Macaca fascicularis: one gene and its partner. The protein of the gene in region 2 interacts with the protein of the main gene of each other region in a pairwise test. Links are inferred from orthologs where the notes say so. Each region holds a gene or a part of one and is shown on either strand. Other genes may lie near its edges. The genes, in order: PNMA5 and VIM.

Region 1 (15,934 bases), on a different chromosome or scaffold from region 2:
ACCACTCTCCGTCTTCTCTGCTAAGGGGACAGACCTTAGGATGGGATCCCTCTCTGACCTCTTACACAGAGGATGGGCCTGTGGACAGGACCTCTCTTATGACTCTCCGCCCAGGGATGGGTCTGAGGACAGGAGTCCTCTCAGTCGTCCTGCTCAGGGGCTGCCTGAGGATGAGACCTCTGTCAGTTCTGTTTGCTCAGGGGACAAACTAGAAGATGGGACCTCTCTCAGTCCTCTCTGCTCAGAAAGAAACCTGAGGATTGTACTCTGTCGGACATTTCTGCTCATGGACAGGGCTGATGATAGGATCTCTCTCAGTTGTTCTGCACAGGGGACACCTGAGTATGGGACCTCTTTCAGTCCTCTTTGCTCATGGAACAGGCCTGAAAATGAGACCTCTGTCATTTCTCTATGATCAGGGACAGAGTTGAGGACAGCACCTTTCACAGTTCCCCCTGCTCAGGTTTCGGAGAGAGGCCTCTCTGCTCAGGAGACCCAACTCAGTCCTCTCTTGTTAAGGAACAGGTCTTATGATGGCACCCATCTCAGTTAATTTTCTCAGAGGTATACCTGTAGACAGGACCGCTCTCACTCCTCTCTGCTCGGGGGACAGACCTGAGGACAAGACCTCTCTCAGACCACTTTGATCAGGGACAGGCCTGGTGACGGGACCTCTCTCAGTCCTCCCTGCTCAGGGGATAGGCCTTAGGATGGGACCCCACTCAGTCTTGTCTATTCTGGGACAGTCCTGAGGACGGGACTTCTCTGAGTCCTTTCTGCTCAGCCTCAACCCCCATGATTGGGCTCTGATCCCGCTCCCTCATCCACTGCTCAAGCCGTCTGTGAGCCCAGGAGGTTGCTGCTTATTGGATGGGCTTGGTCAGCCCCTGGGCACCCAGGAAGGCACCTCGATGGACCTTTCTGTCCCCAGGCCACACATGCCCCGTGCCCCCACCCCCCAGGGACACTTGGTGAGGACTGTGCAGTGAAGCACAATGCATGGTAGGAGCTCTGCAAGCCGGCACACACCAAGGGCCTGGCCAGGATGAAAGGGACAGGGGGCCCCGTGGTGGGGCCCGTCCTTCAGGCCCAACAAAGTCTCCTGGCTCCAGGCTGGTGGGGAAGCAACTGGTTCCTCCCGGTACCGCCTTCCAGACTCCCTGGCTAGATCCCTTCTAGGTTTCACAACCCAGCTATCCAGCCTGTGTGCTCACACGCTCACTGACACAGTCGCGCACACGTTCAGTGACACGCTCACGTTCCAGACACACTCACATGCGCGCACACATTGAGTGACAAACACGCATTGAATGACACATACATGCCTGCTCATCGACACACCCACATTTGCAGTCAGCACACTCACGCACAATGACTCACAAACACACACACACTGACACGCATTGACACACTCACAGTGTCACACACATGCAGCGACATGCATGCTCACCTTCAATGGCACAGCCTCATTCCCCCACACACTCCCACTCACACATGCTTAGTGATGCAGTCACATGCTGTCACTTGGATTCACACACACTCACTTTCTCAGAAACTCATGCACATGCTCACACTGACACACACACGCACATGCGCAAACACACCCGCTCAGACACTCACGGCACACACAGGTCCACTCTGAACAGGGAAAACCAAGGAGCCCTGACAGGCTCTGGCAAGGTCAGCCAAGCTCTTCGCCCTCTCTTCTTGTCCTGTCCCTGAAATCTGGAGGGGCCCTTGGAAAGTGAGCAGTTGACTTGGCCCTGCTGAGACACAAGGGACAGACATGCTGGGGTTGTGCCCAGCCTGAAGAAGGCAGGGACAGCAGAGCACAGTGGGGGCCACAGGCATGCCCGCAGGGCACCCCGATGCGACACACTACAAGGGTCCCTGAGACACTGGTTAGGCACCTTCAGGCCGAGGAGGCTGCAGACCCAGCCCCAGGGACCTGCTGCCCCTGCCCCTCCCCGACAGCCCCGCAAAACTACCCCCCGCCCACGCCTGCACTCGCCTGTGTATGCCTAGTGTCTCCCAGGGCCCCTGCCGCCCTGCAGCCCTGCTGACTGCAGCTCTGCTCAAGCAGACAGGTCGCCTAGATCCAGGATTCCTCAGCCCGGGCGGGCAGCCACCCATTCCCAGCACTGGCTCCCAGGCTGCTTTGGGGCACCCTGGCTATCATCTGAGCCAAGGGGATGGTCGGAGGCTCTGTGCTCCAGAACAGCTGGAGGAAGCGTGTGGGCACAGACTGAGTGAGCTCTGGGAGACCCTCGCCAGGTCCAAGTCACTGATCCCGTCCCCTCCCCGCACTTGTGCAGGGAGGGGCCTATCAGTTGTCCCAGTCCTGTTGCCCACAGACTCTGGGTTAGTTAAATGGCTGATCGAGGACTACCCTCAATTTGTGGCGAGCTCCCTGGCCTGTTGGGAGAGAGAGCCAGTCCCAGGAGGGCTCAGGAGGGCGGGTTCCAGGATCCTCAGGCCCCCACTGAGGACTGCCCCTCCGGCCAGTGCTCAAGGAGGGGTGTTCGGATTAGCAGCGCTGTCCACCCTGAGGGAGCCCTCCTCAGGCAGCATCCAGGGCTCAGAGGGCCTCGGGGACGCAGGACAGAAAGGGGTCACTCCCCAGGGCCATCTGGACTTGCAGCTCATGGCCCACTGCCTGCTCCCAGGACACAGGAGTAGAGGCCCCCCCAGCACACTGGGAAGAGAGCAGAACAGGACCCAGGATGAAGTGCAGCTCCCCCCGCCCTTCCTCTCCCCCTCCCCGACACATAAGCACTTGGGATCCCTGTCTGACCAACACTCTGTCCCTTGGCCATCACACACACACACTATCCCCAAACATCCCTCAGTGGTTAGGCCAAGGCTGGCCACCTGCGGGCTGATCTGGGAGGGTGGGCACACAGCAGCCCCTGCACCACCCCCTGAGTCCTGCACACAGCTCTTCACAGGGCCTCTGACTGCCTGTCCAGGCCCTCCTGGGGTTCTTCTCTGACCTTGGTTTCTGCCCTCGGTTGCACACATGGCCTCTCTGACCCTTCTGGAAGCCTTGAGCCACACCCCTACAGTGCTGCCAGGAATCAGGGGCCTGGAACCCACCTGCTGCCCCTTGCCCAGCCTTCAATGTCCAACCCACTTATTCCTGAGGGCACCTGGAGTGCCTTTAGTACCCAACCAGTCACTGCTCATGACCACCAGCATCCTGTCGCCAGGCTCCATGCAGCCCAAGGCACACCACAGGTCCTCATGGACACACACCCCAATGTCAGCCTGGCCACTGTGGCCTCGTCCCCAGCAGACCACCGCCCACCCCAGTTTCATACAGAAGAGGCAAGACACTGCTGGAACACTGAACAAAATTTATTGAAGAGAAACATGAACTGAAACCGCTGAAGAGAAGGGAATTGTAACACAGACAGACACTGCAAACAACCACTGCAAGTCACAAGTCCCAGGCCCCTCCCTCACCGTGGCTCCCCCTACCACATCCCTCCTTCCACAGGGCCCCAGGATCCACCTCTTGCCAGGATTGTGGGCTCTGGCAATGTGTACTCACTTCAGGTAACCCCCTCCTGAGCCCACCCGCTGGGGCAGGGCCCTGTCTTATAGACTGCACAGGACAGTCACAGGATGCTGGAAAACATAGCAGGGAACACCCCACCAAGTTGAGGAAACTGAGTCACGAGTAACAACAGGGGTGGAACGCCAAAGCACAAAGCTTCCTGGGGAGCCTCAGGCAGCCCTGCTCCGTCCTGTGTCTGGTTCGTCCTCCTGCAGTCAAGGTCACGGTCACAAGGTGAGCGTCTGCCATGCCTCCTTCCCACTGTCTCCTGGAACTGCGCTGGGGTACTCTGGAAAGGAGCTGCTCAGATACAAACACAAACATCCCCAAGAGAACAAGCAGCTGCTGGCCGAGATCTACACCGGCAAAGCAGAGGTGGAGTTCTTGACACGGAACAGCAGTGAGCAGAGCCTGGGCCTGGTGATGACGCAAACCAAAAACAACTACCCACCCCCAACAAGTCCTCTCTTCTCACACTTCTTCCTCCTCCTTCCCCTCTTCCTCCTTCTCCTCCCCCTCTTCCTCCTCCTTTTCTTCCTGCCCCTCCTTATTCTCCTATTCCTCCTCCTGATCATCCTCTTCTTAATTCTCCTCCTCTTTCTCTTCCTCACTGGTGCAGGGGGTCATGAATGCTGCCTTCCTGGGGCTCCCCTCATGCAGTGTAAATGATCCTAAAGACGGGCTGGACCCTGCAGCCTCCCCTGCCGGGCTTCACTTCTCCCCCACAGCTCTTCCTCAGCAGCCCTGGCTCCTTCTGGCAGAGGCAGGCCCCAGGCAGGCTCCTCCAGGTCCCACATGGCCTGGGTGCCAGTGGGCATTCTCAGCTCAAAGTTCACAGGGTGGATATTTGGGGGTGTCCAGATGACCAGGCCAGAGCCCCCAGCCACACCGTCTTCAGCCCCTGCTTTGTTGGGGTCCCCATCTGAAGCCCAGCCACCCCCTGTGCTAAGTGTAGCTGTTCCCTGCTTGTGTCTCCTATACCTGTTAGGGGCCATGGGCCTGGCCCCCACTGAACCAGATGCTATTTGGTCTAGGTTGGTGAAGTCCCTTCCAGCTGGTGGAAAGTAAAGGGGCTTGATCTTGACCTGGCTTCCCTGTCCCTCTGCCCCAATCAAGTTCCCTGTTAGTGTAAGCTGCCCTTTGTTCAAATGTCCCTGCTGCCTGCCAGGGGAAGGAGTGCTTGGGTCTTCTGAGCCTATGTTTCCCAGGGCTTGGGATGGCTCATGGCCCCAGCCCCTGCCTCGTTTCCCGACTCCTCTCCTGCAGCCTGTGGCCCCTCCCTGCCTGGAGTCTGGTTTTCAGCCTTGGGATACATGGCCTGGCCATAGTCTTCTTCCCTAGTGCTTTCACTGCACGACAGCCGCCTGCGTTTCACTAATGGGGGTAAGCCTCCCTGTACAGTCTGGGTGCTGCTGTCGCTCAAAGACCTTGCCTGCACGGTGGCCTGAGGTGCAGAGGCACTGGCTTCTGCTCTTGCCTGTCTACCAGAGGCCCCCCGGCCTCTCCCTGATGGCTTCTCCTTATTCTTCATCACTGCCTCAGTGTTCTCCCACTCTTCTTCATCTCGAATAAGCTTCATTAACTCCAGAAAATTGGGAGGACACCCTCGCTGATCCAAGAGCTCCAGCTTGCCTCTGAGGGCGGGGGTCATGGAGACCCGAGCTAAGAGATGTTTCAGACGAATCATGTCTGCGCTGCGCACTGACAAGGGGCTCTTCTGCACTGCTTTCTGCAGCAGGGGCTCTAAGCGCAGCAGGAAAGTGGAGACTTTCTCTCCAATCTTCGGAAAGGTCTGCAGAAACTTAAACTGAGAGGCTCTGAAGTCCTCTTTATCCCCAAAGATCTGCTTTAAGGCGTCAAGGCACTGCTCCACAGTTATGGAGTCATTGTTGGCCTGGAGCACCCGCATGATTGACAGAGCAGGCCCTCGTAAGCTCTCCAGCAAACGCCGTCTCTTCTCCATCTCAGACACTTGCCATATGGGCATTATCTCGGTGACCTGCTCTAGCCAGTCTTCAAAGGTCTCTTCACCTGGGCTAGGGGAAGCAGTTCCCGAAAACACTTTCAGTTTCCGGTACCACATACTTTCTTTCAGAGGCTCTAAAGGTGGGGGTCTAACTTGGGGTACGACCTCTGCATCCAGGCTCTCGGCAGGGAGGCTGCAACATCCCAGGGCTCTGGCCACATCTGTCATACTTCGGCCCTCATCTTTCAGGAAGTAGTTCAGTCTAATGAGAAACTCGTCATCTGGGTTACGGGGTTTTACCACCACTTCCCAGGAGCCCCCCTTTCCTGGTATGTGACTAGGCAGAGTAGTGTAATCGACAGTGTCAGCCAATTCAATGAAGACTGCCTTGGCGTTGTCTTCCCTCCTGAACATTCTCCCTAGCACCCTGTATGCGCGCAGGGGCTGTAAGCCTGCCTGCACAGTGTCCTGAATTTCCATCTCACTACACTCCACGGGGATGCCTATGATCAGCAGGGCCTTTCTGGGGTCCATGTCCATCCCCTTGCACCAATCCTCTAGCAGTGTCAATGCCATTGCTCCCACTTTCTATGGACTGATCTAATACTAGGGCAGCAATCAGCTTAGTTTGACAGCACTCAAATAACTCTGAGCCACTGCCACGTAGGAAGGTAGAAGTGGTCCCAGGTTTCCACAGCCTGCAAAGCAAATGGGATGAGAGCATTGTTAATGCCTACCCCAACCTATACCCCCAAGCACCCCTCCTCTGCCCCCACCCCCGAGCAGGGATGGAGTCCCTTCTTCCCAGGGTTCCCCAAGTTATTTTGGGGAGGGTAGAGGGTGGAGGTTCTCCCCAGGCAAAGATCTCCTCATCTCACCACTCCCTGCTGACCTCCTCCTGCTGTGGGTTCCTCCTCGAAGTCCAGAGGACTCTGCTGTGTGTGCTTCGGGTATCTGTAGTGAAAAGGCCAAAGTCAGGAGGCAGGGCCTGACATCTGGGGACACTGACAAGCTCTCCAGGCGGAAGAGGGCAGGAGACGGCCTCACTGCTCACTCAGGGCTATGTGGGCTCAGGTCACCCAGCACCCTCCTTGCTGGAGTGAAGGCTGGCAGCAGGAGAGGTAGAATGGCCCTCTTTCTCAGGAATGCCTGACAGATGAGAAAGATGGCCGAGCTCTGCGCAATGCAATGAGAGTGGTGGGTGTGGAGATTGTGTGACAAGCTGCAGTGTTGCCATGGATACAGAGAATACCATGGACCATGGGTTGCTATTGCAGGGGAGTGTCATGTGGTAAGGCTAAGGTCCTTGAGAAGCAACAGGTGATGTCATTGGCCTCCAACCAATAAAGCTTCCCAGCAAAAAGGAGGGTGGGAGAGGGAAAGCGAGGTGGGCTTGAGGAGTGAGTGCTGAAAGGACAGGAGCTCATGGTTTCAATTGTGTGGAAGCTGAAATCAGGTAGAAAAGGGACCCTGATGAGGTCCCCACTGCCAGACTGCAGGAAACCAACAACTCTTGCCCTAGAGATGGCCCTACCCTGCAGAGTCTGTGAACGCTGGCAGGCAGTCCCCTCTCCACACTCTTTGCCGGGGTTCCAGAGACCCTCCCAACAGGGCCCACCTCACAGCTGCTCACCTTTCTGGGTTGGCCCTGCTGGCAGCGCAGATGCTGCAATAACACAGTCACTTCAGAGTCGCTCTGCTCTTCAACTCTATCCAATTAGGCAGTTCCTGACTCAGGCGTGATGGTTCCTGCTTCCCTGGATCTGTCCAAGGCAAAGCACAGGTATTTTGCTGTGATTCTGTCCCACACACATGTCCCTGCTCAGGCCATGCCAATTCAGATTCTGCATAGGTGTCCACTAGGACCCTGGTGCAGGGGTAGAAGAAACTGCTCAACTGGCAGAGGGAAGAGGAGGGGGGAAGGGGGGAGGGGTGGGGGGGAAGGAGGAGTGGGGGGAAGAATGGCGAGAGGGGTGGGAGGTGAGGAGGGAGGTGGGGGGCGGGGGGGCTGCTGCTAGGGCAGAAGGGATCCTAAGGTAAGGTTGCAGCCCCACCCCCACTGCAAACTTCATTCCCTCCCAAGCCCCACCCCTGCAGCCATGTTGCACCCCTTCCTAAGCCCCACCTCAAAACTTGCACGCCTGCTGCCAAACTCTGCCTACAACTAAGTTGCACCTCTACCCCAAGCCTAGCCCCCCACCAAGTCCAACTCCTTCCACCACCCAAGTCTAACTCCCGCCTCAAGCCCTGCCCTCACCCACAGTCCAACTCCTACCCCAAGCCCTGCCCCCTCACCAAGTCCAACTCCTACCTCCATGCAAGTCTAACTGATGTCCCCAAACCCCCACCTCCATTTCCCTGTTCCCCCAATCCCCACCCTGTTATTTACATACACCCACACCACCGACACCAGTGGAAGCAGGCAGAATCTAGGAGGGGAAGGTTCGAAGCCACTTTCCCTCAAGGGCAAGGGCCAAGAGCTACTGTCCTGACTGCAGTGTCTCCGGGCAGGGTCGAGGGTGGAATACGTCTCCCTGAAGTTTTTTTTTCTTTTTTTTTTTTTTTGAAACGGAGTCTCACTCTGTCACCCAGGCTGGAGTGCAGTAGGGTATGATCTCAGCTCACTGCAACCTCCGCCTCCTGGGTTCAAGCGATTCTCCGACCTCAGCCTCCTGAGTAGCCGGGATTACAGGCGTATGCCACCATGCCCGGCTACTTTTTGTATTTTTAGTAGAGACTGGGTTTCCCCATGTTGGCCAGGCTGGTCTCCAACTCCTGACCTCAGGTGATTCACCTGCCTTGGCCTCCCAAAGTGCTGGGATTACAGGTGTGAGCCACCGCGCCTGGCCAGGTCTCCCTGAAGTTCTGCCTGGAAATGGCAGGGATTCCTCGGGGTGCTGTGTGTGATCTAGTGGGATCCCGCCTCCATGGAAACCTATGGCCACCAGCCCCTAGACCCCGTTGAAAATAGCAAGGATTATTGGGGGGATCCCCCGCAATCTGAGTTGCTGTCTAAGCCCGGGGTCCAGCTCCGTACCTGCCGGAGGTGCCTCCAAGCCGGTGTTCCCGCGCAGCGCGACCACCACACGTCTATGGCGGCTGCCGCCTCCGTGCCGACTGCGCCACGAGGCTGTGGCGGGAAGAGGTTGTCTGGAGACGACACCACTCCCCCAGCGGAATTGCACACGGCCCGCTCACGGTTGCGCACTGGTGACATAAACTCTCCTACTTCCCACAAGGTGGTTCCTCACCCCGCCCCCCCGTGCCAGCCTGAGCCAGCCTGCACCTTTGAGGACAGAGAATGCAAGCCCAGCTGGGAGCCACTTACATTGCAGAATAGCTCCCAGTCCTGTTGTTTATTGGCTGGACGATGGTGGCAGCCAGGCTCGCCACGTGCCATTTGGCCCAGCAGCCATTGTGGCTGTTCCCCATTGGAGGGGAGCTGTGGCGTCCCAAGCCTGTGGTGAAGGGCCGGGTGCAAAACACCCCGTGCAACGTATAGGCCACGTGAGCGCGCTTGCTACCTGAAAGTCATAGCCCCCGTTTTTTACTGGACTGTGTTCTAGGGGAGGAGGGCAAAAAATACAGCTAATGCCTGCATTTCACAAGGGCATTAGTTTTTTTCACTGCTCACTGAGAGCCAGTGACTGAAAATATTCCATTCTCCCATTATTCTCCTGATTTCACGACCAAATATTACGCACCTAGTACCCAAGCTGCTTCCTGTCGTTTCCCAAAGCAGGTTTCTTCCACAGAGGGAAGATCCTGGGGCCTGCAGTGGCCCGAAAGTGCTGTTCCAGAAAAGGGTGTGGGTGCGGCACAGGTAGCATACTTCAAGGTGCACATAAATCCCCTGGTAATCTTAAAAAAATGCAGGTTCTGAGTAAGGAGATCTGAGGCAGGGCTGGTTCCGCTGAAAGCTGGGTTACTTGCTGCATATCCCTGCCCAGGCTATGTGGAGCAAGGGTCTGAAGCCTATGATTACATTTCAGGGCCAGAAGTTATGGACCTTTAATGACAGAATATATTTGTTTTTCTTTCTTTGTGATTAAAAACAAAACAAAACAAAAACAGGCTTTTCTGGTAATGTTTTAATAAATATGTTAAAAGCAGACAACATTTTAAATTGATGGTCACTAAGCAAGATATTTGCAGATGTCACCTTCTTCAGCCAGGTGTGGTGGCTCACACCTGTTATCCCAGCACTTTGGGAGGCCAAGGTGGGCAGATCACTTGAGATCAGTCTGGCCAACATGGTGAAACCCCGTCTCTACTAAAAATCCAAAAATTAGCTGGGTGTGGTGGTGCAGGCCTGTAATCCCAGCTACTCAGGAGGCTGAGGCACGAGAATCGCTTGTACCTGGGAGGCAGAGGTTGCAGTGAACCCAGATTGCACCACTGCACTCCAGCCTGGGCAACAAAGCGAGATCCTGTCTTTTTTTTTTTTTTTTTTCTTCTGAGAAGGAGTCTTACTCCTTCTCCAGCCCAGGCTGAAGTGCAGTGGTGCAATCTTGGCTCATTGCAAGCTCCGCCTCCTGGGTTCACGCCATTCTCCTGCCTCAGCCTCCCGAGTAACTGGGACTACAGGCGCCTGCCACCACGCCCAGCTATTTTTTTGTATTTTTTAGTAGAGATGGGGTTTCACCGTGTTACCCAGGATGATCTCAATCTCCTGATCTTGTGATCCGCCCACCTCTGGCCTCCCAAAGTGCTGGGATTACAGGTGTGAGCCACTGCGCCCGGCCGATATCCTGTCTAAAAAAAAAAAAAAAAAAAAAACCATTGAGAGCCCATTAAATCAATCTCCTTCATGTGACAAGAAAATAGTGCTGGAAGCCATTGCTTAGCTGCCTGGTATCACAACATCACAGAAGGTGATGCCTCGGACAGAGGTTCTGCCTCAGTCACCTCTGAGCTACTGAGGCCTGTGAATGTAGTGATTTGGGGGACACAGTCTGGAGTCCTAGTACCTGGCTGTCCGCCAACTCCCAGCTTCCAGACCCTGCCCCTAAGCATGAGCTTTCTCTCTGCCAGTTTCCAACCCCCTTTTTCTCTCAACACTTCCACTAGGCCATTTTGAGGGTAGAGGGTCAATGGTTGGGCCTGTTGCCCCCAGAGGCTCAAGCCTTGGCACATCAAGCCCTTACCATGCAGGTCCCGTTCCCAGGGCAACATGGATGCCTCCCCCTGTCTAGCTATTTGCCTCCCCCGGAGACTCTGAGATTTTTCTCCTTCATCTATCTGAGGCTTCTGGGAGAAGTTGGAAGCCCATGTGCCCTTAATACAGCCGACCTGAGATATCCCTGCCCTGTGCAGCCCCAGCTGCACTGCTGAGGCGTGATCTTCCACCTTCCCGTTCCAGGGCCTCGAGGTGGTCTCTGGAGTGGGCTCCACAGCCTGAAGGTGGCATTTGCCCATGGGTGGTTGCAGTGTCTGCAGACAGAGAGCAGGCACCAGCGGGACCCCAGAGTGGCCGAGGGCGCCCTGGGGAGGAGCCAGATTGCTGTGCCCCCAGGCAGTAGGTGCGAGAGGGGGTCCTGGTCTGGAACCTGAGGAGAGGGGAGGAGGGTCTCCTTGCTGCAGGAGTCTGGGTGGGGTGAGCTCCTGGCTGCAGGGTGCCTCTGGCTACAGAAGGGGACTATGGTAGAGACAGGGGCTCTGACTGTGGGGGAAGGGGACTCCTGGCTGCTGACACGGGAGGCGTGGGAGGGGGTTGTCAGGTTGCAGGGATGATGGGAGGGGGCTCCTGGTCAAGTGCTGGGAAAGAGGAGGTGGGCACATCCAGCTGCAGGGTTCCATATGATGGTTGGAGTGGCTCCAGCTGTAAGTTCTGCCATCAGGGGCTGTACACCAAGGTGAAAGAGATGCTTCCTGCTGTGGAGGTGGGGGATGCAGTGAAGGGCTCTGAGCTGCAGCAGTAGGGGTGGGGGAGCATGGGCTGTGACACTGGGCAGGGAAGATGCTTCAGGCCCTGCATTTGGGAGTGGCTGGTCTCTGACTGTGTGGTGGGGGTGGGCTGACTGGCACCAACATCCCTCTCTCCCCTTTGCACTCACAGGCTGCGTCAGAGACTGCAACAGTCAGCACACATTCCTGTCTGATCAGGCTCCCTCCCTCAAGTCCTCTGCGATGGCTCTGGCGATGCTTCGGGACTGGTGCAGGAGGATGGGTGCGAACGCAGAGTGCTCCCTGCTCATCCTGGATATCCCTGATGACTGTGAGGAACATGAGTTCCAGGAGGCCATGCGGGCTGCCCTGTCGCCCCTGGGCAGGTACCGAGTGCTCACCAAGCACTTCAGAAAGGAGCTCGGGGCCAGGGCAGCCTTGGTGGAGTTCGCTGAGGGTTTAAACCGAAGCTTGATTCCCTGTTGAATACCAGGCAAAGAAGGACACTGGAACATGATCTCGCTGCCCCAGGCCCCTGATGCTGATTTCAGGATATATCCAGTTTCCCTGCACAGCCCCAGGGGCAAGCAGTGGCCAAAGGTGCAGGTGAAGCAGGAGCTGCAGGTGAGGAAGATGAGGCAGGTGATGGAGGAGCTGCAGGTACAGCAGGAGCCATAGGTGAGGCAGGAGCTGTGGGTAAGGGTGAGGTAGAAGCCACAGGTGAGGCAGGAGGTGCAAGTGAGGCCGGAGGTGCAGGTGAGGGAGGAGCTGGAGATGAGTTGAGAGTTGCAGAAGAGGCAAGAGAGTCAGATGAGGGAGCCGCAGGTGATACAGGAACTGCAGGTGAGGCAGGAGCTGTGGGTGAGGCAGGAGCTATGGGTGAGGCAGGAGGGACAAATGTAACAAGAACCTGGGTCCAGCCTTGGCGCTGCACCCTGCAGGCTGTGCTGGAAAACAGGGCCTACCAGGAACTAAGACCCTTTTCCAAGAGGGAGCAGCCAGGCTGCGAGGAAGAGTCCTTTGAGAGCTGGGTGGAGCATGCCAAGGATATGCTGCAGCTGTGGTACCATGCGTCGGAAAGGGAGAGGAAGAGGTGGCTGCTGGAGAGCTTGAGTGGCCTGGTCCCGGACGTCGTGAGCGGCCTCCTGGAGGAAGATCCCAACTGTGGCGGTGCTGGACTGCCTGGCGGTGGTGCTGGAGCAGGTATTTAGGAACCGGGTCACTCGAATGACTTCCGGGCTGAAGTTCCTGACCTGCCCGCAGGGGCCCTTTGCCTTCCTGGTACACCTGGAAGGCCTGCTGCAGATGGCCCTGGAGAAGGCGGCCGTCCGCCCGGCCCTGGCCAATCACCTGCGACTGCGGTAGGTGCTGCCTCAGGCCTGCCCTAGGGAGGCCCTCCAGAATACCCTGAGGGGGATGCAGCTGGAGAGGAGGCCACCCAGCTTCCTGGGGCTGCTCCAGCTCATCCAGGAGATGGAGGTGTGGGTGGCCTCCCCAGTGAGGAGCCAGCAGGGTGTGGCCTGGCCAGTGGCTGCAGCAGAGAGTGAAGACCCAGTTGCCGCCCAGGCAGCTCCTGCCCATGGAGATGCTGCCCAGGCCTCCTCAGCCCAGGGGGACGCCAGCCAGGCTGATCCTGGGGTAGAAGATGCTGCTGAGACTGCTCCTGCCACCAAAAAGGCTGTCAGGGGCACCCCTGCCACTGGGGAAGGTGAAAATGCCCCTGCAGAGCTCAAAGGAGCCAGAGGGCCTTGTCCAGGCAGGAGGCCAGGAGGCTGAGGAGCCCCCCAAAGGGAGGCTTATGTTCATCCTGGAGGAGTTGGAAAATGAGGACAGGGCCAGGGAGGTGGGCCAGCGCAAATCCTCCCCAGGCAAATAGGCTCAGAGGGCCCCAGGGCCTCCTCTCCTCTCAGGCTGCAGCATCCTGGAGGCAGAGGGGAGGCCAGGCCAGGGCTGGTCCCTCATCCCATATCAGGATTGGGGCCCCCCACCTCCCTCCAAAGGGCCCTGGCCACCACCATCAGCCCTTCCCGGTGACCCAGATGACCACGTTGATACCAAATGGGGTTGGGGGAGGTGCCCTTCCTTTGCACCCAGTGCTGCACCCAGCCCCAGCCCCAAACTCTGCCGTCTCCAGGGTTCTGGCCTGGAGGGAGCCCTGAGTGGCCAGCTGCGGCCTGGGTGGGGGCACCTGAAGATGTCTGTCCCCCACCCCTTGTCCTGGGTTGGGAGAGACAGGGGCAAAGAGGTCCTCTCAAGGGTGCCAACTGCCTAGGTCTCCCAAGAGGGTCACCCCACTTGCCGTCCCCAGGGCAGGCTGCCCCCTGTTCTGGGAAGCCCACCCTCACCTGTGTAGGCCCCGCAGTGACCCAGCAGACGCCCACCCACTGCTAGCTGTCGTTCCTCTGCAAAGTTGTGTGTTGTGCACCCACCTGGGCAACCGCCTCTAGGCCCGGGGCATGTGCTGTGAGCTTCCTGCGAGCCCAGGTTCTGCTCACTGCTGCCTGTCCTGCATCTTAAACACCACCTCTGCTTTCCTGGTGTAGATTTAGGCCAGTGGCTGCTTGTTCTCATGGAGCTGTGTGTGTTCTTCTCTGAGCAGCTCCTCCCCAGAGGCCCTCAGCACAGACCCAGGAGATGGTGGGAAGGAGGCACCAGGGCACGGCGGATGCTCACCCTGTGACCACGATGGTGACCATGACTGTAGGAGGAAGAGCCGGACCCGGGATGGAGTGGGGCTGCCCTGCCTGAGACTTCCAGGAGAGCTTCATGCTTTGGTGTTCCACCCCTGTTACTCATGACTGTTTCCTCGACCTGGTGGGCTGTTCCCTGCTGTGTTTAGTGGTGTCCTGTGACTGTCTGTGATGGCCATAGGGCAGGGCCCTGCCCCAGCAGATGGGCTCGGGAGGGGGTTCCCTGAAGCCAGTGGACACTGCCAGAGTCCACCGTCCTGGCAAGAGGTGGACCCTGGGGCCCTTGGGAAGGAGGGAGGTGGCAGCGGGGTCAGCAGCAGGAGGGAGGTAGACGAGGCACCTTGCCAGGAACCCCAGGAGGAGGGATCCCAGGACCTGTGTCCTGTGGTTGCTGTTTGCAGTTTCTCTCTGTGTTGTGGCTCCCTTCTCTTCAATGATTTCAGTACATGTTTCTCTTCAATAAATTTCATTTCATGTTCCAGCCCGCCTCGCCTCTGCTGTGGGTAACTAGTGGAAAAGGTCTCTTTGGGATAAAATCGGAGCTAGGGGACAACAGTGGCCTGGAATTCTGACCCTATTGTGGTCACTGGGATACGGTCAGGGCATAGTAGGCCAGCGATTGTAGAGAATGACCTAACTGTAGTTAGGTCATTTTTAAATTGTTCCTCAGTTTCTCGTTTATCCTGTGTGTGGACTACAGTGCTAGAGCTTTCACCATCTCTTTGGAAAGACAGAAGAGATGGATAAGGAAAAGGAGCAGAGCAGAGCGGCACCCCTCGCCTTCCCCAGGGTCTGGGTAGCGGGCGTGGGACGTGTCGCCTGTCCAAATGTGCAACCGCCACCAGTGTACGCGACGTGTGTGCACCTGTGCACCTTGGCGAGCGCGCAGCCGTCATGAGTGCGCCTGGGCGCGCCGCCATTTCCTGCAGCCTCGACAGCACGGTCGTATGTTTCTGGTTGTCATTTTATTCTTTTTGAGAAACGGTCTCGCTCTGTTGCCCAGGGTGGAGTGTAGTGGCGCTATCATAGCTCACTGCAACATAGACCTTCTGGGCTCAAGCGATTCTCCCGCCTCAGCCTCCCGAGTAGCTGGGACCACAGGCATGCACCACCATACCCGGAACCAAAGTCACAGTCAGTCGCAGTGCCCGCTGGGAAAATGCGACCGTCCACAAAGCGAAACGGCCCTTCAGGGCGAGTTCGGCCTCCGTAGAGATTCTCCTGAGGCCACGCCTGCGCTGGCCGCCAGAAGGCGCCCGAGGATCACGAATGGGCCCAAGGAGCGGGCGGCCCCTTCCCATGCTCAAGGTCTGCTGCCGCGGTCAGAGTGGCCTTGGGGTGACCGCACGTGGACCGTCGCCGGCAGAAGGGAACGCGGTCCCGCGGGGGCTGAACGGGGCCCCTGCGGTCTGAGCTTGTTTCGCAAGGAGCCCTGGTGGCCATGGCCTCTGGGACACCAGACACGGGTCGTCAGGGCTGTCGCCGGGAAGGGGGTGTGGACGTGCAGACAGGGAAGGCAGCCGGACCCTCCAACCATGCTGGGCCCTCGGGCTGACTGTGGCTGGTCTGTGGGGCTCAGTGAGGAGGGACTTTGTTCCCTAGAAGTTTGATGAGGGAGCGCCATGGGGGTGGCGTCATCCTGACATCCTGCAGGGCAGTGGAGCCTTACTTTCCCTAGCCCCAGAGATCATGAAGCCTCTCTTTGTTTAAAGGTAGAAACCAAGGACAAGAGATTGGTGGGAATTGCTCTGGTTACAAAATTGCAGAACCAGACTTCTTAATTCTGGGACCTGTGCTGCTTTCATTACAGTCTACCGCTTCCAGTTTGTGATG
Region 2 (15,897 bases):
TAGAGAATTGTTTAGCTACTATCCAATAAATAACACAACAAAAGAGTTTTTCCAAAGATTTATTGAAGCAGAAAAAGTTGGTCAGATACTTGCTGGAAAAAAAGCAGTTTTAATGATATTCAAAATACCTTTTAAAAAGTATTCTAGCACAAGATTTTTCTGTAAACTAGATTATGTCGTAAACTTTTTTCTAAATCTTTTGGGAGTGTCGGTTGTTAAGAACTAGAGCTTATTCCTATTCCAAATCTATCTTGCGCTCCTGAAAAACTGCAGAAAGGCACTTGAAAGCTGTTTCTTTAAGATATGGATTTCTTTTTTATTCTTGCTGGTAATATATTGCTGCACCGAGTGTGTGCAATTTTTATTCAAGGTCATCGTGATGCTGAGAAGTTTCGTTGATAACCTGTTTAAAAAAAAAAAACCCAAATAAATGTAATGCCACATGCCAAAGATTAAATTATCCTATATATCATGGCAAATAAAAATCCTGCTAAATAGATATAATTTATGGTGCAAATCAGACAGTTATGTTGCTTCTGCACGAGTGAAAGCTAGAAGCAGCAGACACACAAGACTCTTCCACTACAGGCAATATAAGAATCCAATGGAATGTTGTTACTTACAAAAAGAATTTTTTTTAAAAAAAAGTGTGTTTATAAAGGATGGTATAATAGTTGTACACAACACAGCCAAGTTTAAAAGCAATGAAGACATATTAAAACTAAATGATCGTATGGCACATGCTTGTATTATATAGATGGGTTCAGGAATCTATAAAGTATGGAGGTGGGAAGACGCCATATGTCCAGGATCAAAGCATTCCCCATATTGACGTAGTCTAGTGAAGCTGTTTCTTGTAGCTGCTTTAGGAAGTGGTTTAAGGAAGCTTACTCCCACTTCAAATTAAGCACCAAAGCAAATCACTAATTTTGGAGTGTAGGAAGATTGCTATCTCAGCTTCACATCCAGGAGCCAAATAATTAGTTGGCTGTGTGTACTGCTGAAGAAGGAGTCTATTCTTTTTTTAGTAGGCATGAATGAAACCTGAACCTCTCAAATTAGCCTGCTGTATCTGAGATGCAGATCCATTGATTGAAAACATATCAACTCCCGTCTGAGATTACTCTACATTTTACCTAAAAGATACCAACCTGTCCATCTCTAGTTTCAACCGTCTTAATCAGAAGTGTCCTTTTTGAGTGGGTGTCCACCAGAGGGAGTGAATCCAGATTAGTTTCTAAATAAACAAAAAGAGGCCAAAAATGAGTACAAATGACTTTTTTCTTAGAAAAACCAAGTAACCATTTTAGTGAAACAATTATGATTTGTGGGGGAGAGACAATTGTGTGAAGTGCTACTCCCCAAATAATTTTTGAGTAGTCTCTGTTTGCAAGCCCAGGCCCTGACACACTTGAGAATCAGGATGAGACAGCACTTGCAGCAGGAAGAAGGAAAAAGGAGTTTGCATTTAACTTAGAGCATAGAGTGCAAGAGTGTACTTGGGTTTGAAAAGTAGATGTTTTACAGAGTTTTCTCTTATATGGCATTTTTCAGATATCCTAAAAAAAAGAATGCTTTGACATAAACACCATGGTTACAAGCTGCTGATGTTTTTCTTAAAGGGAAATAAAATGCTTACCCCTCAGGTTCAGGGAGGAAAAGTTTGGAAGAGGCAGAGAAATCCTATAAACAGATGAAGAGAAACAGTAAAATTGTAGGCACATAACTTCAACCACTAGGAACAAATTAATGCACTTCTCGTTTTCGTCATGTAAGAGAATGTACTGTTTTAAGTCATAAACTAGGGATTTGTCTCAGAAACATTTTCCTACGACTGGTCTTGTTAGTACATTTAAAATATGTTACTACATTTTCTCCACAGAGGCATGAACAGGAGTTAGAAGAGTGGAGGTTTTGACAGATTTGTGGGTTCAAATCCCAGCTCTGCTGTTATTTACTCTCTCTCAATTCAAATTCCTCCTCTACAAAAAGTGGAAAGTAGTTATCTCAAAGAAACTTTCTAAAGACTAAATGTGACACTGTGCTTAGAGGCCAGTGGCACAGGGCCTAACAAATGGTCACCATTAGTTCACGCATCCAAGTCTGAGTTCCCTACCTGCTCTCCTCGCCTTCCAGCAGCTTCCTGTAGGTGGCAATCTCAATGTCAAGGGCCATCTTAACATTGAGCAGGTCTTGGTATTCACGAAGGTGACGAGCCATTTCCTCCTTCATATTCTGAATCTCATCTTGCAGACGGCCAATAGTGTCTTGGTAGTTAGCAGCTTCAACGGCAAAGTTCTCTTCCATTTCACGCATCTGGCGTTCCAGGGACTCATTCTGTAGGAGGTGAGAAAGATCTCTGGTGTTATTTCTCAGAAAACCCCAGCTGTTCCCAGAACCATTTACAGACCTTCTGCAATAATTTCCATTAGTGGCAAATGGCGACCACTATAATTTTTGGTGGAGAATACAAGTACCAAGTCCTTCATATGAGAAGCAATGATATATGCAAGCTAAAACCTTCAAGAGCTCCATCAAGTCCATTTTGAGTCTGTCTTGATAATTCATTTTCTTTGCATTAAGGTATAAATTTTTACTCACTCAGCATTTTGTTCAGGTTATCACCATGAGCTTAGTCAACAAAATGAGTCATTATTTTCCCTCTTTTACTGCAGGGTTGGTACTCACGGTTCCTTTAAGGGCATCCACTTCACAGGTGAGGGATTGCACCTGTCTCCGGTATTCATTGGACTCCTGCTTTGCCTGGCGTAGGGCGTCATTGTTCCGGTTGGCAGCCTCGGAGAGGTCAGCAAACTGTTAGGAAGAAAACAGAAATGTAGATTGCTCACATTCAAGTCTTTTGATTCTCTTAGAAAAAAAATCGTATTTCTCACTGAATGTCTTCCAGTATAGGTTTAAATTTCTGTTTTAAAGTCAGGGAAAGAGCAGTGGAGTACTGACATTAATATTTTCAAAGTTCACTCTACTATGCTCATTTCAACACAGTGGACGTCAAAGGTATGGCATTGGGGTTTACTTGGAGGCAAGGTTAGGGAAAAGGGAGTCTGCTATTCTGAACGAGGTGATGTGGCCAGGTGTGGTGGCTCACACCTGTAATCCCAACATTTTGGGAGGCTAAGGCGGGTGGATCACCTGAGGTCAGAAGTTTGAGAGCAGCCTGATCAACATGGTGAAACCCCATCTCTACTAAAAAGACAAAAATTAGCCAGACATGGTGGTGCTTGCCTGTGGTCCCAGCTACTTAGGAGGCTGAGACAGGAGAACCACTTGAACTTGGGAGGCGGAGGCTGCCGTGTGCCAAGATGATGCCACTGCGCTTCAGCCTGGGCAGTAGAGCAAGACTCTGTCTCATAAATATACATATATATATATAAAGGAGGTGATGTGAGTGGTGGGAAGGCCGTGGCGACAAACACAATGTGAGCAAGAAGTCAAAGCCAGCTTTGCATTGGAGCTAGAGGATATTTAGGAATCGCACACAGGTATGGGGTATTGAGAACACAATGCTTTTCTTTTGTTCAAGCCACACTGATTTGTTTCCTACCTTGGACTTGTACCATTCTTCTGCCTCCTGCAGGTTCTTGGCAGCCACACTTTCATATTGCTGACGTACGTCACGCAGGGCAGCCGTGAGGTCAGGCTTGGAAACATCCACATCGATCTGGACATGCTGTTCCTGAATCTGAGCCTGCAGCTCCTGGATTTCCTGCAAAAAGAACAGACAGACGGTCAGCTGTGCCAGCCGTGGGGGCTGCCTTACCCTCATTCATTCCCCAAAAGTCACTCCACTAACCTCTTCATGGAGTTTCTTCAAAAAGGCAATCTCTTCTTGCAAAGATTCCACTTTGCGTTCAAGGTCAAGACGTGCCAGAGACGCATTGTCAACATCCTATTTTGAACAGAGAAAAGACAGGACATGGAGGATGTAAAAGTCTATGGCTTATCTCATTTATTTGTCTTAGATTAACCATCTGAACCTAGTCTCCTTACTATAGAAAAGGTGTTGACACATTTTATGACCCTTGAATAGGTTTATAAATCATTCAGTGCTATAATATGCTGTGCTTTCTCCTGCTCACTAATATATTTTAATTGTGACCCCTTGTGTTTTACTCAAGGTGGTGAATGGACAATTTTAAAATAAATAAACGTCCACACACATGGTAAACTGCACTCAATCATGACTGAATCCACATTTTACCTGTGACATTTTAAAATTATTTTTTAAGGCTGGTCATGGTGGCTCTTGCTTGTAATCCCAGCACTTTGGGAGGCCGAGGCGGGTGGATCACTTGAGGTCAGGAGTTTGAGACCAGCCTAGCCAACATGGCGAAACCCCATCTCTACTGAAAATACAAAAATTAGCTGGGTGGGTGGCACACACCTGTAGTCCCAGCTACTTGAGAGGTTGAGGCAGGATAATTTCTTCAACCCTAGGAGGCAGAGGTTGTAGTGAGCTGACATAGCGCCACTGCACTCCAGCCTGGGCAACAGAGTGACACTCTGTCTCAAAAAAGAAAGTAATTCCTTTAATTTAATTACTTTTTAAATCTAGAAAATCTATGCCACAACATTGTTAAGATTTGTTTTGTAATTTCATGGAATAACATGATGATAGAGGTGGACAAATTTTCATAACTTCATGTACACTTGAGTACATGGAGAACAGAAACTTGTGCTTCAAGAGTTTTAGCTTTTTTTCCCCACTCAAATCTTTTGAAACTTATCCTTAGGCTCCAAAGCAAATATGCAATCATGTGGCATCCATTGTACAAGGCTAGATTTATATTCAATAATAACCCAATTCAGGATATGCTGCCAAAGATTCAGTTCAGGAAAAATTGGAAAAGAAATGTAACTCTGAACTGTATTTTCTCTGCTTTCTCTGATGGATTTTTCTTCTAAAACTCCTTTGACTCATCCTACAAAGGCGTGTCTTTTTCGCTTGCCACTGTATCCGTTCAGTTGGCCTGTTTCAGAATGACTGGTCAAACTTGCAGAGAATGAAACTACATGAAGGATTTTTGCTGATTCAGCTGTCCTTCTATGTTTCCATTTGTAAAGCTCAACATTCCAATTCAGAACATGTAATCTTGCAACTAAGATTTTATTTCCTCTCAAAAGGATGCGTGAGGATTGTTTATCTTGTCAGCAATTATATTTGGAGTTCAGTTTATAGCCTTATGGTCTTAAACTGTTGAGACTTTTCTATCACCTTAGTGGAAAAATGAATGAAGAGTGGGTGATAAAAAGATCAGACTTGATGAAAACATTCATTTTTACTTGCTAAGCCCTAAGAAATACATAAAAGATATTTTACTAATCTCCAAAGAAAGATCAATGTGGTATTACTATTACATTGAAGAGAATGAGGAATTTTGCTTAAAGAGAATGAGGAATTTTGCTTAATCTCGAAACAGAGGATCTTTTGTATTGATGTTGTTTTACGTTAACTCACTACTCTGCAGAAAACATTACAGGTATGATAATCAAAAATGCTCAAGGACTAAAATGAACCACACATTGCTGTGGTTAAATTAATTTGGTAAATGTATTTCAGTTTCAAAATGTTGTACTACACTATTCATCTGAGAGTGCTTTGTAGTTAATCCCAGTAAATATTCCAGGGAATAAAACTATAGACTATAATGGGGATCTTCTGGCTTCTGGATTCCAATTTTAAGTCAAAAATTCTATAAGTCCATCCAATTTTGGTGGGAAAAAAAAAAACGCACAAAAACCCTTTAGTTAAAATTGAATTTTTCAGCCTTAGATTTATTACTATTATTATTATTTTTTATGGCGAGAGTGCTAAAGAATACAAGAATCCAATCAAGAAAGGACTTTCAAAATGTGAGGTATGTTTGTAGCTTTAAAAACTTTTTACATTACATACTTCTCAAGTCTGGGCCAGATATTAGATAACGGATGTTAGCAAATACTTGTGTCCAATTAGAACCGTGCTTACATCACTACATATTCAATAAGAATGTAGCCTGCTGCAAAGCTTCCCCGGGAACACAAAGACTCCTATTATTTCTGTCCACAGCCACCACATTTGCCAGAATGTCTGTATCTACATTCCATAGTGAAGCCCATAGAAACCATTAATACCCCTCAGCCGAGGGGACAGATGGCTCCTTTTCACCCTTATTAGATCACAAAATAGTTGTGCATAGTGATACTTCCATCGAACTTTAATGCCACAATAGAAGTTGCAAAGAAGAAAAGAAACTTGCTGGCTCCATTCCAGTTGGAAACTAAGTTTTCTTATCTTCCAACACGTTTTCCATTTTAAACTGTAGGGCATAACTGCGCTTTTTGTGACCTTGTAAAAATTAAGCGACTTGACTTTGGCAAACCACAATCTAAAATTGTGACCGTTCGAAACCAGAAGGTCAATGTGTTGCAAAACTGTGCAACATTTTGAAAACAAAGTAGAAAGTTAAAAGATTTTTCTTTATGTCCCAAGGAACGGCTTAGAAATCATTCAAGGATCGCTTGAACCCGGGAGGCAGAGGTTGCTGCGAGCCAAGATCTCGCCACTGCACTCCAGCCTGGGCGACAGAGTGAGACTCCGTCCCCCAAAAAAATCGTCCAAGCGGTTTTATTAATATTTTTTCTAATAATGAGAAGCTCCAATCTGTGGTCTTCCCGCCACTAGAGGGCTTTACGCGCAGCCCTGAAGTTTTGCACTTTTTAGACGTGGGTTAAGCAACTTTTAGAATTGCTCGTGGGTTGTGTTGGGTGGGGTCAGGTAGCTGCGAGTGGGAAGAGAGCCTACAAACCTGTCTGAAAGATTGCAGGGTGTTCTCGGCTTCCTCTCTCTGAAGCATCTCCTCCTGCAATCTGAAACAGTTGCGCATTAACCAAAGGGGAACTGGGAAACCGCCAGGGGCGGGGCGGCCACACCCAACCACCACGTAGCCGCGCTGCGCCTCCAGAGCCGCTGCGCCACCTCGGCGCAACTAGCGCTTGCAGCTTTCAGGCCTGTGGCCCTCGGCAGGTTTCAGTGGGACCTTGGGCACCGCGCAGAGGGGCAATCACGGTCGCCGCACAGACCTGCAGGACAGCGCCGCCATACCCACCCCCGAGAGACCATCCCTTTGTCTCGCTCCCTCCACCGCCTTCCCCTCCTTCCTTCGCCCGCCCGGCGATTGGCCGCCCGCCAGAAGGGGCAGGAAACTTTATAAAAGTTTGGAGGACTCGCTCTCATTGTGCCCAAGGGCCTTCAACTGCACACAAAGTGGTAGTTTTAAGAAATCTGTAACTTGAAACGGAGCGTCCTTGGGCAATGTGTGGGGACAGAGGGGGAAATGCGAACTGCAAGGTCTGGGTTCTGGGCGGGGCTGCGCCGCCACAGCCACAGCCGCTGCTCTCCGCAGTCCCCCCGGCAGGCCTCCCCCGGGCCTCATCCCCAAGGGCGTGGCAGCCCTGGCGGGGGCGGGGGGCGTTCCCCTCTCCCTCCAGCCCCCTCCCGAGGCCCAGCGACTTGCAATGGGCGCAGCCTTACTTCTCCCGGAGGCGCATGATGTCCTCGGTCAGGTTGTCGCGCTCCACCTCGACGCGGGCTTTGTCGTTGGTTAGCTGGTCCACCTGCCGGCGCAGCTCCCGCATCTCCTCCTCGTAGAGGTCCCCCAGGCGCGACTTGCCCTGGCCCTTGAGCTGCTCGAGCTCGGCCAGCAGGATCTTATTCTGCTGCTCCAGGAAGCGCACCTTGTCGATGTAGTTGGCGAAGCGGTCATTCAGCTCCTGCAGCTCCACCTTCTCGTTGGTGCGGGTATTCTTGAACTCGGTGTTGATGGCGTCGGCCAGCGAGAAGTCCACCGAGTCCTGGAGGAGCCGCACCCCGGGCACGCTGCTCCGCAGGCGCACGGCAGAGGAGCGCGTGGCATACACGCCGCCCGGGGACGAGGCGTAGAGGCTGCGGCTGGTGCTGGGGCGCAGCGCGCTGCCCAGGCTGTAGGTGCGGGTGGACGTAGTCACGTAGCTCCGGCTGGAGCTCGGCCGGCTCGCGGTGCCCGGGCCGCCGAACATCCTGCGGTAGGAGGACGAGGACACGGACCTGGTGGTCATGGCTGCGGAGGGTGGCGATGGGCTGGGCTGCGGCGGTGGCGCGGACTGGCTCCTAGAGAAGAGGCGGACGAGGGCGCGGTGGGTGTGGGTGGTGGGAGCGCGGCTGAGTCTCTGGCGCGGGGACCTCGGAGCGAGAGTGGCAGAGGACTGGACCCCGCCGAAGGCGCTGTTTTTATAACCGCATTAGGAAGGAGGGTCCCCTCCCACTGCCATCCCAGCGGCGGAGCGCGCCAGCCAATAGGGACCTGGCGAGAAGCGGGGAGGGTGGGCGGGTGGGGTGGGGGCGCCCTCGAGCCTTTCTCCTCCAGGGCCTGGGACTGGGCATGGTCCCGTTACTTCAGCGCTGGGCTGGGACTTTTGGGGCTTTCCGGATGATAGTCTGAGCTGGGCTCACCCTGGGGTGCTGAAAAAGGCGGGGTCGCGCGGTGAGGGGGGATCCGCCCGGGACTGAACCAGAGGAGTCCGGTGGCACCGCGCCAGAGGGGCGTGGGAGGAAGCGCGCGGCTGCCTCGGGGCTGCGGTCAGGTGGGGAGACCCGCGAGCAAAGGAGCGGGAAGAGGGAAGAGTAAGGGATCCGGCAGATCTGAAGTCGCTGAGAAAGAAACAAAGAGCGCCTGAGATTGGAACGCGGGATGGGGGCGCGCACAGCTCAGGAACGCAGGGCTCAGGGCCCCGCGCAGCCTCGCTCACCGCCCGCTTGGAAAGGGGGGCTGCTCCGGCCCGCGCCTCTGTCAGTCGACTTGCCTTGGCTGGGAGATGTTGGGGGGGAGGGGAGGCTCTATCGAGGGACCTAACGGACTCAGTCCAGCTTCGGACGGCGGGAGTTGCCAGGCGGCGGTGGCAGAGGAAAGCCCGAGGGAGAGGGGTGGGGTCGCTGAGTCACCGGTGGTGACTCACCGCGCCCTGCTGTCCCGCCGATTGAGGGCTGCTAAGCGGTTTAGGGGAAACCGTTAGACCAGATTGACTCGAGTCTCCGCGGCTCCGCGCGTGCTGCTGGTTCCCAGTCCTACCAACTTAGAGCTGGGCCATCGCTTTGATGTGTGCGGTGGGGCCCTTTGGGGGACAAGAGCGCCTCTAAGTTCTTATAACTCGCTAAAGCCTGACTTTGCTCGATGTGTGGACTTTTTGTTAGTAAGAAACTTCTTCAGCCTTTGAAGAGGCGCCATACGTGGGCCTCCTGGATCACGATTGCACCGGGAAGGTTTTTCTTGCAGAGTCCCCGCCCCCGTCCCTCCGGTCTCCTCTCGCTCTTCCCCCTCCCCGCGTGAAACCACACCCAACTTTTTAAACAAGATCTGAAAATTCTGGGTGAAAGAGGAAACTCAACGTCCGTAGTTTCAAAATCGAACTCAGTGATCAGTGGTTTTCACCCTGGTGGAAGTTATTAAAGGTATAATTTGAGCCAATGAAATAATTAATTAGGTGTTGCTTAAAAACCCCAATTTGATTAATGAGTTCAAATGAAAGGCAATTATATAACACAAATGACAGAATGTTTGGCGGCAATAGATTTGTGTGTTAATTTTAGGACAGCAATGCACAGTGCAGGGTTCACGGTGATTTGTCTGGGAAATGTCACAGGTCCTGTTTTCCAGAAGAATTCGTGCAATTGACCTTGGGGTGAGGGGGGATAAAACTGTCCACGGAGCAAAAAACTTCGTGTCCCAGGCACGGAGGGAGTGTTCAGATTCGGTCATCTTAACCTTTCTAGGGAAATCACTCAATTCAAGGGCTGTTGTTTCAATATTAGTAACGAGCAGAGCTGAGTACTCACCAGCCAAGGGAGATAAAAGGCGGCTATGTAAATCAGTCTTCTTGTGATTTAGTAGCAATTGAAAAAGCACAGGTTTTTTGAGTATTTAGATTTATGGTGTACTGAAAGGATTAACTACAGAACCACTGTAAAATCGATTCTGCAGTGGATAGGAGGGAAAAAAATGCATTTCTTTCTTTCTTTCTTTCTTTTTGGTGGGGGCAAGGGGTACTGCAGGTTACCTGGTATTTAAGAAAAATAATTTAGAGGCCAATGAAGAGCTTCTTCTGACTTCTTCGGACAAGCCTCTTTTAGGCAATATTTTGTTTACCTTATCCCGGTTCGTTCTTGCAAATGGTGCTGCCAAGGTGGAATTACAGGACTCTCTACTGCCCAGCTCGCCTGCTGGGGCTTTCTTTTATTCTCTCTTTCACTGGGAGGCTGCAGGTCATTCCCCAAGAGCATTCCTGGGGCTGGGTGCCCTGGAGGACAAACCTATGCTCTGAGTTACATCTTGCTTTCTGAGAGCCCTTTATTCAAGCCACTGCTCAGCAAATGTCACCATTGTGAGTTTGCCTGGAACCCTTAGAATGAGAAAGGCGATCTCTGTATGGGAGGAAGAGAGTGTGGAACTCACTTCTACATGCAATGCCGATCCCAGGGCAATGCGGTGGCACTGTCAGGGGACACTTGCGGACTGACTCACTATGGAAAAGGAGGACAAGGCATTGGCGCAGTGTGGCACTGTGCCCTGCTGGTGCCCATAGCTGACTCCTCAGGGCTGTGGTGATGTCTCCTGGAATGGGCACCGGTTCTCTTCATCATCTCAGGGATAGGTAGCTCTTCCTTCCAACCTGTCCCCATTCTGAAGTCTCAGGGCTGTGACAGGCTGCTCTCTTGCCACATACATGTTTGTTTGATGCACATAGAGTGTATAAAAGTGTAAGTGTTGTGTAATCCCAGCACTTTGGGAGGCCAAAGCAGGAGGATTGCTTGACATCGGGAGTTTGAGAACAGCTTAGGCAACATAGTGAGACTCCATCTCTAACATATATATATATATGAAACAAAAAAAATTCGCCAGGCATGGTGGTGCACACCTGTGGTCCCAGCTACTTGGGAGACTAAGGTAGGAGGATTGCTTGAACCTGGGAAATTGAGGCTGCAGTGGGCTGTGCACACCACTGCACTCCACCCTGGGCAACAGAGTGAGAACCTGTCTCAAAATAAAGTATATGTATGTACTACACACACATATACATATACACATATACAGCGTTCAATGTGTGCTTCCTGTTAGAAAATACCATTGTTTTTGGTGGGCTGTAAGAGAAGTGAAAGCTACAAAAACACTTTCACTCATTAATGTAGAATTCATGAGACTTAAGAATTCATTTCATTCTCAGATAAGATATACAGTGCCTCAATCAATGGGTGATAGTCATCAGTCAGGGAGATCAATGAATCTGAACTTACATCCTTGAGTGAGACAACTCAGCCTGCTCTCTATGCTACTATGTTCTTAGGTATCTTTTGGGTACACAGACATAGCTTTCACGGGTTTTGTGTTTATTTTTTGATTGCTATGAAAACCTATCTCAGAAGTATTTTTAAGTGCTGGACTAGGAAGCTGCTTTCAACACAGCATGATGTGAGTTGCATATAAATAAAGACATGGTGGTGTAATTCATAGCGCAGGCATAAACACTACCACATCTAAATTACCAACAGTGATTTTGGAATTTGCAAGCTGTCATGATGTCAGTTGAATTGGGTGACTTAAACTGACGGACCAGCCAGCCGTGTGGACAGAAGCTTAGTGGCCTATGGAGGCTTTGGGAAAGCTGGCTAGCCGTGCCAAGAGAACAGCATCTAGCAGGACTGTTTGGATGGAATGTTAGAAAGAAGGAGGAGGGTAGAGTGAGAGGGTGAAAACCATATCAAAACCTAAAATCCATGGAAATACAGGTAATAATAATAGTATAACTACTTTAATGTTGATACCAACTGGATGACAGGCACTGTGTATACATTTAATTTAACTTAACGCACTCACACCCTCCTGCAAGATAGACTTGATCATCCACTTCACTAATGAGGAGTCTAAGATGCAGGCTAACAATTTTCTTGCGGTCGTATGACTAGCAGGGGAGGGAAGAAGGGGACAAGAATTTGAATCGAGGCCTTTCTGACTCTAAATGCACATCTGTTTTCTGTTTGTCTTGATAACAAAATTTTGCTTATTATCAACCAGTTCAATTCACAAATATTAAGTGCTGGACTTATTATTTAGGGACCTACTACGTTCCAGGAACTGAAGAGATGGGATGATTAACACAGATCTTGCTGCTAAGGGGCAGATTTTTAGAAGAATTTGGCAGACAGCTACAACACCATGTTTATGATGTAAAATGATGTAAAAAGCAAAATCAAATGATGTAGCAGTGATCGTAATATATAAGAAGGGAGTTTGTTTTCACCTGCATTCTAAAACTTTACTTTCATTTGTGAGTTAAAATTTTTCACGTAGATTCCGTTTTGCCTCTTAGGAGGAATCACATGCGAGATTGGGTTTAGCTTACCTCACGCCCTAAAACCCATGAACCACCGTCGCTTCCCTTGCCAGCTTCCCTGTCTATTCAGGGCAACGCAACGAAACAACAAGATTGGAAACTTTCATCATTGCCACTTTCTAACTCTTCCATCCCAGATCCAATGGGTATCATGCCCCGCTCTTTCTGGATCCATTCCTCTGTTACGTTGCTGTCACTCAGATCCAAGCCATTTCGTACCGCCTTCCTGCAATACTGCAGTTGGCTTCCATTCCTCCATCCTTTTTTTCTCCCACCAATGCATCTATCTTCAAGCCATCACCCCTTTTTCTTTAAAAAATATATATTATATATATATATATATATATAATTCATATATATATATTTAGAGACAAAGGCTTGCTCTGTTGCCTAGTCTGGAGTGGTGCAATCATAGCTCACTGCAGCCTCTTAACTTCTGAGCTCAAGCATTCCTACTGCCTCAGCCTCCCAAGAAACTGGGATTACATGTGTGTGCCACCCATGCCCAGCTAACTTTTTATTTCTTGTAGAGCCAGGATCTTGCTATGTTGCCCAAGCTGGTCTTGAACTCCTGGGCTCAAGCAATCCTCCAGCATTGGCCTCCCAAAATGCTGGGATTACATGCATGAGCCCCCACAGTTGGCAAAAAACTTCCTTCTTTAAACTTCTTGGTGGGAATTGCTCATCTCCTCACTAGAATGTAATCTCCATAAGGGAAGGCAGGAATTTTTCTCTTTTTTGTTCACCATTGTATTTCCAGTGGCTAGAGAAAAGCCAGGCACATCTGTCGAATATATACATTAATACATGGGTAGTTCATAGAAGGAAGAAATAGTGTGTGGGGCTAATATTTACTGGTGCTTATTATGTTTAAGCATTGTGCTAGTCACTTTAGACATGACTGCATTTAATCTTCACAAGGTATCATGGTACACAACTTTTATTCATTTACTCCAAATGTATTTATTGAATATTTGCCATGTACCAGGCAGTCTGGTAGACACTGGGGAAGGGACAAAAGCAGGTATGGCCCAAAGCCTCTTGGAATGTAGTGTTGAGTGTGTATATGTATATGATTCAGAGAGACAATACTCGTAAAGAAACAAACAAAATAATTGCAAGTGGTGATAAAGACTGTGAGGAAAACAGAAATTTTGCTGCAGAGGAAGTTGAGGATCATAGTTAACTGGTGGCCTTTGGAAGCTATGTTAAGTATGTATATCCATCCTCATTTCCCACTGTTCCCCCCAGGCAGCAATTTCAGTAGAACCCTAAGCTCCTTCTTATTCCATGAATATAGTACATTTCCTCCACCCTCAGGTCTTTCCTCATATTCCACTCAACAGATAGATGTATTCATATTTTTTTGCACTGCCTGCAATGTATCTTAGTATATTTCAGTAAGTAAGATACTTTTTATGCCTCTAGGGATCTCATAGCCTTGTATAAGGATTAGAAAGCAGATAAAGAGTTGGAATACATAGCAGAATGAGGTAAGTGAGTGCTGTTGCACAGATAGGATTAAATACTGAAGAGTTTAGATGGAGAAATAATCATTGCGGCACTATTCACAATAACAAAGACATGGAATCAGCACAGGTGCCCATTAACAGTGGATTGGATAAAGAAAACGTGGTGCATATACACTGTGGAATATTATATAACATAAAAAAGGATGAAATCATGTCCTTTATAGTAACATGGATACAACTAGAAACCATAAACCTAAGCAAATTAATGCAGCTAAACAGAAAACCAAATACTGCTTGTTCTTACTTCTAAGTGGGAGCTAAACATTGAGTATACACAGAGACAAAGAGGGAAACAATAAACACTAGGGATTCCCAAAGTGGGAAGGAAGGGAGGAGGCAAGGACTGAAAGACTGCCTATCAAGTACTATGTTCGCTATTTGGGCAGCGGGATCATTAGAAGCCCAAACCTCAGTATCACACAACATATCCACGTAACAAACTTGCACGTGTACCCCCTAAATCTAAATTTTTTTTTAAAAAAAACTATAATACTATACCGAAAAATAAGTTACATATTGTTGAGAAAACAAATGATCATATCTACTCGGGGGAGAACAGAAATTGTCATTAGAAAAGACAGTATTTGAAGAATGAGTACAATTTCTACAGCTTCTCAAGGCAAAGAAAGGTTGCTCTAGTGCTGACCAAACAGTATAAGCAAAAACTGTGTGGGTGGCAGAGTGCTGAGGACATTTAGGGAACAGGAATAATCCCAGGGTTGCTGGATTACGGAGTATTTGTAGGGGAGAAAGGGAACTGAAAGTTAACGTGGGATTATGCGTTGGACGGGTAAATGCCAGGAAGAGGAGTTGATAATTAATGTGGTGGGCAGTGGGAATGCACTGTGAATTTCAACTGGGAGAAAGACATGCTTGTAGCTGTATTTTAGGATTGGAGAACGAGGCTGATTTGAGGTCTGCTTGAGGTAGATCAAGTGAATGGTAAAGGGAGCCTGAGGCGGAGATGATTTTAGCAATTGTGATATTTAAGGGCGAGAGGATAAGCAAAATCGAGTGGGCTCTGAGCCTTGTGAACAGGGTAATTAAAAGAATAAATGAGGCCGGATGTGGTGGCCCACACCTGTAATCCCAGCACTTTGGGAGGCTGAGGTGGGCGGATCGCGAGGTCAAGAGATTGAGACCAATTTGGCCAACATGGTGAAACCCTGTCTTTACTAAAAATACAAAAATTAGCTGGGTGTGGTGATCTGCGCCTGTACTCCCAGCTACTCGGGAGGCTGAGGCAGGATAATCGCTTGAACCCAGGAGGCGGAGGTTGCAGTGAGCCGAGATTGTGCCACTGTACCCCAACCTGGCAACAGAACAAGGCTACATCTCAAAAAAAAAAAAAAAAAAAAAGAAAAGAAAAGAAAGCATAGATGCCTTCCAGACAGAAATAATAGAAATAATTAGTTGGAAAGTTAATTTGAGTTGAAAGACAGTTAATTCAGGTACCTTAACCTGGAAGTATCTTCCCTTCTCTGGTCTATATGAATTGTAGTCTCACGGAGGTGAGCTATAACTGGACAGTGTGGTTTTACATTATCCAGCAGTGGTCCCCAGCTTGTTTGGCACCAGGGACCGATTCCATGAAGACAATTTTTCCATGGACCAGGCGTCCGGGGTGATGGTTTCGGGATGATTCAAGTACATTACATTTATTGTGCACTTTATTTCTATTATTACATTGTAATATATAATGAAATAATTCTACAGCTCACCATAATGTAAAATCAGTAGGAGCCCTGATTTCCATATAATTTCCTGCAATGATATGGTCCCATCTGGGGATGATGGGAGACAATGAGGGATCATCAGGCCTTACATTCTCATAAAGAGCACACAACCTAGATCCCTTGTATGCACACTACACAATGGGGTTCACGCTCCTGCGAGAATCTAATGCTCACCGACCGCTATCAGACCAGGCCCAGGGTCTGCA

Evidence for each region.
Region 1: the proteins of VIM (region 2) and PNMA5 interact in binary tests that used the Homo sapiens proteins (3 or more experiments, as listed by UniProt). The link is inferred for Macaca fascicularis from reciprocal best matches to the Homo sapiens genes VIM and PNMA5.

What each region holds. Positions count from the first base shown.
Region 1 is NC_088395.1:159,080,190-159,096,123, forward strand, and holds PNMA5 (paraneoplastic antigen-like protein 5), read right to left. Parts: upstream 6,716-15,934; 5' UTR 6,418-6,715; exon of another isoform or gene 6,404-6,417; intron 6,224-6,403; 5' UTR 6,102-6,223; coding exon 4,755-6,101; 3' UTR 3,342-4,754; downstream 1-3,341.
Region 2 is NC_088383.1:18,130,247-18,146,143, reverse strand, and holds VIM (vimentin), read right to left. Parts: upstream 8,243-15,897; 5' UTR 8,098-8,242; coding exon 7,535-8,097; intron 6,871-7,534; coding exon 6,810-6,870; intron 3,911-6,809; coding exon 3,815-3,910; intron 3,728-3,814; coding exon 3,566-3,727; intron 2,815-3,565; coding exon 2,689-2,814; intron 2,338-2,688; coding exon 2,117-2,337; intron 1,684-2,116; coding exon 1,640-1,683; intron 1,238-1,639; coding exon 1,152-1,237; intron 404-1,151; coding exon 362-403; 3' UTR 44-361; downstream 1-43. UniProt on the Homo sapiens protein: Vimentins are class-III intermediate filaments found in various non-epithelial cells, especially mesenchymal cells. Vimentin is attached to the nucleus, endoplasmic reticulum, and mitochondria, either laterally or terminally.